2 linked regions of the Saccharomyces cerevisiae S288C genome follow. The gene in region 1 interacts genetically with each later gene. Each region holds a gene or a part of one and is shown on either strand. Other genes may lie near its edges.

Region 1 (4,231 bases):
TTGCTTTTTATTATGCGCTGTTACAGCAGGTAGCGGAGTTTTCAGTTCTTTCCCTAGTATGTAGTATGAAGGATAATACGGTAAAAGAACGGGGCTCTTGATTCATCATATAAATTTATTTTCCCCTGTTGAAACCTCGAGTAACCGTCCTCACTGTTTTATTACCAAGGATGAGCTCGAGCAGTTGTAAGAGAGAAGTGGGCAGAAAAGTATAAGTAACAAGAAACGATATACAAGTTCTTGTTGTTAGGCGTAGCAACCCTTTCTCCCCTGGTTTGATCCTACTTAAAATAAAGAAAAAAAACAAAAACGTCATGATGATTTTGATATTATTAGACATACGTAATTTAGTTGAATTAAAGGAATAACAGGCAGCCCTATTAACCACGGACAAAATATCTCTGCATATGATTGCATTATTTGTAAACTATGAATGAACATATGAACGAAAACGATTAATATTAATATTAAAATTTGAAATGGTGCAATGCTGAACATTGCAAGTATGCGAAAATAGTTGATCCTACACTACAAGAGATTATTTTTCTTTAGTGAACATCCTTTTATAAAATGGTCTCGGATCATTTCTAGTAGCGTCTAGGTCATAATCTGTTGTTCTCCTAGATGGTGGGATCCATTTGGTAGACTTCCAAGGTAGCACATTTTCTTCATACATTTCGTTGACTTCTTCTAATGTTAAGCCCTTTGTCTCTGGAACAAAGAAGAACACATAAAAGTATGCGAACACCATACAACCCATAAAGACATAGCCATAATAGAAATTGATTGCTGAAGTAATAAATGGAGTGAAAAAACTGATCAAGAACCCCCAAATCCAGTTACAGGCACTTGCAATCGACATTGCTTTACCACGTACTCTTAAGGGATACGACTCAGAGATAAGGACATAGGCAACGGGGGCCCAAGTGGTAGCGAAACAGAAAATGTAGAAACATGCGAAAACAATCATACAGTTACCAGCACCCTTTGAAGATGGTTGATCTTGACCGTTTGGCCATAATCTGGTAACACCAACAGAGGCATAGACGACATAGCAACAAATCATACCTACACAGCCCCATAACAAACAATTACGACGACCAAAACGATCGACGGTATATAGCGAGAAAAAAGTCGAAACAAAATTAACAACACCCAAAACAATAGCAGTTTCAAATGAATCTTCCAAACCAACAGCCTGGAAAATTGTAGTACCATAGTAAAAGAAGTAATTGTCACCTGTCAGCTGTTGTAAAGATTGAATCATCATACCCATTAGTGTACGTCTGAACATCTGGGGCTTACCAGTAACCAATTCCCCCCAAGAAGCAGAGCCCGCCAATCTCTCAGCTTCAATAGAAGACTGATAGTTCTCCATTTCTAAAGTTACTAAAGGAGAGTCTTCAGTGGTTTTGTTAGCTCTTGCTAAGGACCGCTTGGCCTCTTCAATTTTTCCCACTTCTACCAGATAACGTGGGGATTCAGGAACGAACGTCATACCAACAATCATAAAAATAGACCATGCAAAGCATAAGCCTAATGGTACCCTCCATTGGACAGAGTTTGAGTAATTCTTGGTACCAAAATTAGTACAATATCCCAAAAAGATACCGAAAGTGATCATTAATTGGTAACATGAAACCAGAGTACCACGCAACTGCTTAGGCGACACTTCAGAAATTAGCATAGGCGCCAAAACTGTAATACCACCAACGCCCAGTCCTGAGATGATTCTTCCAATGAAATATTGATACCATTTGTCAATGGAGGCGATTTGGATGATGATCCCAATTGAGTAAATGACGACAACAGTCATCAGACCAATCTTACGTCCATACATATCACCGAGCTTTGACAAAACTATACCTCCGATAGCGCAGCCGATGTTGAAAATAGAAACCATCAAACCGGTTCTGACATCGGAAAGATAGGTAGTCCCGTTTGCACGGGTGCTGCCAAATCGCCTAATGAAGTCTGTTTGCCTGACAAAACCAGATATAGTACCAGTATCCCACCCAAACACGAACCCACCAAAAGCAACCATCAAACAGCAGACGGATACAAATAGTAAATCCGACTTCGATTTCTTCTCTAGTTGTTTGTCAACCTCCTTCTGAAGCTCTTCCAGTTCGTCTTTGGGAGGGCCTTCATGGGAAATGTAACTTGAGACGGGTTTAGCTTGTGCCAAATTATCGTTGTAACCGGCGGTACCAGGAGCAGTCGAGTTTCCTGACTTCTCGTTGTATGAGTTAGAATTTGTGCTCACAGTAGCAGACCCTTCCAAGGGGCCTTGATGAGCGTTTTCAAGTTCCGACATTCTTTCTTTACCTCTAATATATTCTTTTTTCTAGAAAAATAATATTTTTTGCTGGTTTTAACAAAGCTATGAAGTAAAATTGCAAAGTGAAAGCGAATCTTGTTTGCGTATATTATATATAGAAAAATTATTCAATCGACTTTTCTCTTTCTTTTGATAGTTTCTTATTCTTAGAGGGAGAACCGTTCGACTAGCATGAAAAGAAAAGAGAGAGACTCTTTTATACGTGAAATCAAAAAGAAACCAAACTTGAGGTACTCTACTAATGATTCTGGCCCTCCTTTCTTGTTTACTCCGTGCCCCTAAAACTAATTAACCCATGCCCATATATTCATCCACACGACCATTAATATTGAACATAAAGATATCATTTCACCAAGCAGTACTTCACTCAATAACAAGGTGTGAAATCCGGTATATTATTCCATCGCTATGAGTGCGGGATCAGAAAGTGAATTACTTACTGTCCCCTAATGTGCACAGCCACGGGGAATGCGGATCAACTGCAGAGAAAAGGGCGCACAGAGTTAGAATGCATCCCTTAATCCGGGAAGTAACAGTAACACGTCATGCGGATGTTTCTTCGGTGGGTATGGGTCACAATTTCGTCCACCAGTACATCACAGCATGCTCTCATTTCTTTACTTTTTGCTAGCAGATGATTACTTTCATTTCGGGTGGGATGGGCCACCTTTTTAGTTTATCCTCCGGGATGCCTTAAACAAGAAAATGGAACAGTGGGGATAAGACCCATAAAAAATCCGAAGTGATAAGTATTGATTGGTATATTCCCGTATCGGAGACCTTAACATAACATAGTGTAGTGATTTTGCGTATAGAAAAGTAACCAATAAAATAAGGTAAATATTGCTATATGAATGTAATAAATAAAATAATATATGGGCGCAACAAAAAGAACGCAAGAAAGAAGCATTGATCAGTGCTTTTTACTAGTTTTCAAGCTTTTCACCCTCCTTAATAGCTTGTTGCCGGTGTTTTCCTTTTTAACAACATCTTCGTGACCGCTTCCTTGGGTGGCAGTGACCGGAACAGAAGTTCTATTATCGTCTACGTCCTTTTGCTCCAAGTGTCCACTATGTGTTTTCACTAGCTTTAAATTGTTGTTGTTCACTTGTAGATGTCTTCTTGAGGGGAGAGACTTTTTTCTTGCTATGCTGTTTTTCCTACGAGATTCTTGTGCGTGGTTGATAACATCTTGCTCTATGGCAGCGGAAGACGCTGGTGCGCCATCCAGGAACGTCGTTGAGCCTAGACCCATCGTAATGGGCCCATGGACTAGTTCAGTTTTCATTTTGGAATCGAACTGGGTAATATTTTTTGAATTCGGTTTAATCGCATCCAAAGTCGTAGTACTGGAATTGGCCTTATTGAATAAATATGCTCTATCTTGTAGTTGGTTCAGCGTCTCAGAATCGTCGTCTACTGTTTCCCTACCAAACACCTCATCTAAGGTAGACTTCTTACTTGTGCGGCCGCCTACTGTATTATTTGGACCATCTGCTGGGAAGGCCAGTACAGGCGCCACTTTATTATTCTTATTTCTCTGTGGAGTGCATGCATCAAAGGGGCCGTCATGATGGAAAGATCCGCCAAATAATCCTGTAACATCCATCTTGTCAATAGTGTCTACATTTTTAGGGGGCTTAACCTTGGTTCTGCTTTTGCTCTTCTGCTTATCTTTGTCCCTATGTCCGTGTGATGTACGACGATGGTGGTGGTGGTTGTGTTGGTGACTATTTGAACCACTACTGCGTTTCTTTTCTTTTGGGTATGGAGCTTGCTGTTTCGGTGTCCCCGCAGCTTCTTCATATGATGGGAGTCTTTCTTGTCTAGAATTGGAAACGCTACTGTTATGGGCCCTCCTAGTGTCATCTTCATTTAAAAATGGGTTAC
Region 2 (3,639 bases), on another chromosome or scaffold:
ACTGTTTGCTCCTTGAATTTGTCTTCATTGCCGAAATGATAGTCTTGGCTTTCTGAATATTGATATGTTCCTAGTGAACCATTACCTGTACGGGCATCCCAAAGTAAGGCACGTGGTGCATATGAAATTGTTTTTGAAACTTTATCTACAACCGAATTCAGAAAAATTTTGGAGTCATTGACTTGTTGTTCTTTAGACAATTGTAAATAGCCCTCTTGTATATTGAAGAATTGAGTAGTCAAATGGTTTGCTCTCTGCGAAACCGATATCGTTACTACTTCATGCATTTTTTATTCTTGTCTGCCAATTATATATGTAATTTTAACAATTAACCCTCTTCTTCCAAGGTTTTAATTCATCGCATCGATTATATTTTGTTCCATTCGAAATTTTCCATTTTAAGTTTGGCGAAGCTTTTCACGTTTTCATTCAGAAATAATGATGTCGAACATCAAAAAAAAAAATTATCAGGTTACACATCTAAAAAGTTGACTTATTTACAAACTAATTCGCGCGAAAGGTTGTGGCTATGGGTTCGCAATTAGGATCTGGGAGTTGAACATTTTCCAAGTCAGGTTTTAAGCCCTTTACAGTAATTTCGTCGTGAAATATTTTCAAAAATCTGCATAAGGGTTCTGCGTACCACCTTCTGCCGGATCTGTCTTTGAACCATCCAACATGCCCCCCCGTCGAAGTTTCTAGAAGCAAAGTGTATGGATTGGATTTTATTTGGTCTATAGGAAGATCACCTCCGACAATTGGGTCATCCTGAGCATGCAAAGCTATAAAAGGAGTTCTGATCCCGGGTATTCTTTTATATGATGAAGCATTCTTGTAATACTCCTCTGCATTTTTATATCCAAACATTGGGCCTGTCAACAAGTTATCAAATTGCCTCACAGTGCGAATCTTTTTTAAATGCTTCTCGATAACATCTTTGAAATCAGGGTTTTCTTCCAGAGTAGAGAGATGGTTTCGAACCATGCGTAGTAAGTTGTGACCCAAAGCAGGTGAATAAAATCGTGACCCCATTGGTGTACTGTTAATAAAATATGCAGAGTTGTACAGGTCAAATGGATTACTCACGGAAATAGCACATTCGATTTTAGTACGATCTGACTCTTCTCCCAAGTAATTTGTCATTATAGATGCGCCTAACGAAAATCCCATCATATAAAACTTTCTATTCGGAAATCTTTTCCTCAAGTCATTAACACAATATCTTATATCATTGGTCCAACCACCGTTGTATAATAGCGGCGTTGTAATTGCAGAATAACAACATCCTCTAGCATTAAACACGCATGCTTCAAAGTCATACTTCGTGGTGATTTCATGAACAATTGCCCTCACGTAGCTTTCCCTCGAACCCCCTGTTAATCCATGGAGAATAATAAGCATAGGCTTAGCATCGTCTGAGTTCAATTTAGGATCATCAGGGGAATAGTACGAATATCTTCGTTTCAAGTTTCCGTTAAATACCGGTTGACTTGTCGGCACGTATTCTTTTTCCACTTTTCTTCTTTTGGTACTTCTACCATTTACAGCAAAATCCACAGTCCCTTCTCCCCCATGTGGGTATTTGATTATCATTCTTTTATATTGAACTTTGTATATATTGTCAAAGTGTCTAAAGGAACCATATGCAGTTTGTAAATGGCCATTGACCAGTAAACCATATAAAGTGTCAGTAGCACCGTCAGCTAATTCAGGAACTTTAGTATCTATTAGCTCAGGGATGGTGATCTCTTTATTTTCATTCTCTCGTTTATCGGTGGACTTGAATGCAATAGGATCCTCAGGGACCTCTTGATGAACAATCAAAAAATTAGGTAACAATTCTTTTAGACGCATATCGTCTCTGGAAGTTTACCAGCGTTTGTATAATACAGTTTTAAAATAACAAAGTAGTTGGTTTTTATCGAACTTCAAATAATTGAGACCCTTTTAAGATCCACAATACTTTTCGGGGTTAGGTAAGAAGACCCGTAAAAAAAAAAAAACGTAAACGATGCTGTACAATTAACAAATTTTTCAGGAAATAGAAGAGGTAAAAATATTGATATACGAAGTTGAGGAGCGCCAATGGTTAGCTCACTGGCATCAAATATAATTCTAGCCCTTGTGGTAGTCCTGATGACACTGCTAAGGCAAAATAAGCCGTTGCAGAGGTGGTTTGTATCATATGTTGAAAAGCTATTATCAAGAAAATCAAATCTGGCCCAAAAAGTCAGCGTTTTATCGCCCTCCTTAAAATTGGTTGATGTTGAGAAATCAATATCTGCCGATCAATCGAATCTTTCTAAAATTAATTATCAGATTCCCACTCTTCCTGATCTTACGGGGAATTTAATCCGTTTACATGAGTATCGAGCAAGAGGAGAAGGCTATAATGGCCTTTTATTTCGGAGAGCAAGACAATTAAATGGAATTTCAGAAGATCAGTTGCAAAAATTAGGCTACTTCACCAAATTAATGAAAAATAATGAGGGTATCCGAGAAAACGCAAGAGTTATTGACAAGATAATTGAGTTCACTTTAGGGAAATTGATTCATTCCAACGAACACGATGAAGAATTTACAGAGGAAATTGAAAAGATATGCGCGGAACACGGCTATAAGATTAAAGATGGTCACCTTATTCAATTGAATCCTGACTTCGTATTTCCAATAGTTTCGTCTCGAGGCAGCCAAAGTGTGGTCCATGAAGCATTAGCACATTTGTGTCGTGATTTCAGCTCTTACTATAGTGTGGAAAGAGATCCTTTACAAAATTTTATCATTAGTAGAATCAACCATCATGTGATTAGTGCCGGGGACATGAAAGAGAAAATTCTTATCGTGACCCCAGGGGCTGGTGTGGGTGGCCTATCCCATACTCTTGCCACCACTTTCCCCAAAATACAGGTGGACTCCATCGAATTATCAGCCTTGATGTACATATGTAACCTATTTGCACTCGAATATAAGCATGACGTTAAGATACGTCCTTTTGTACAACAATATTCATGCCAGACAGTGTTTGATAATCAGTTGAGAAGTTTATCGGCAGATTTGAGCAAAGTTGGCCACCGCAGTAATCTGGACCCACTATGGGGGGACTTCACACGATATTCTCCCATTTCCAAAGACTATGATAAAATTATCATTTGTAGCGCATATTTCATAGATACCGCGGAAAATATGTTTGAATATCTATCCAGTATTGAAGCACTAAAGAAATACTGTAAAGAGCTGCATTGGGTCAATGTAGGTCCATTAAAGTATGGCACCAAACCCTTGGTCCAATTTACAGGAGATGAATTAAGTCGGCTGCGTAAAATTCGCGGGTGGAAGGACCTTGTGGAGGAATATGAAGTTGATAGCTCAAAGGGATTGAATGGCTATTTAACTGATTATGAGTCAATGTATCAAGGATACTATGGTCTGCTTAAATTTCATTCTGTCTTCGAAAGCTGAATTGATACTACGAAAAATTTTTTTTTGTTTCTCTTTCTATCTTTATTACATAAAACTTCATACACAGTTAAGATTAAAAACAACTAATAAATAATGCCTATCGCAAATTAGCTTATGAAGTCCATGGTAAATTCGTGTTTCCTGGCAATAATAGATCGTCAATTTGTTGCTTTGTGGTAG

Evidence for each region. A genetic interaction does not mean that the proteins touch.
Region 2: mutations in HXT5 (region 1) and MGL2 together harm fitness more than expected from each alone (negative genetic interaction), as found in Saccharomyces cerevisiae (2 studies listed by BioGRID).

Annotation. Positions count from the first base shown.
Region 1 is NC_001140.6:294,131-298,361, forward strand, and holds HXT5 (hexose transporter HXT5), read right to left. Parts: upstream 2,318-4,231; coding exon 539-2,317; downstream 1-538. Other genes in the region: PAL2 (Pal2p), read right to left, coding at 3,255-4,230.
Region 2 is NC_001145.3:685,731-689,369, reverse strand, and holds MGL2 (putative carboxylic ester hydrolase), read right to left. Parts: upstream 1,855-3,639; coding exon 505-1,854; downstream 1-504. Other genes in the region: DML1 (Dml1p), read right to left, coding at 1-287; YMR209C (uncharacterized protein), read left to right, coding at 2,086-3,459; ERG12 (mevalonate kinase), read right to left, coding at 3,572-3,639. UniProt on the Saccharomyces cerevisiae protein: Converts monoacylglycerides (MAG) to free fatty acids and glycerol. Has a preference for palmitoyl-MAG. Does not play a significant role in ethyl ester biosynthesis. Also possesses ester hydrolase and low but persistent TAG lipase activity.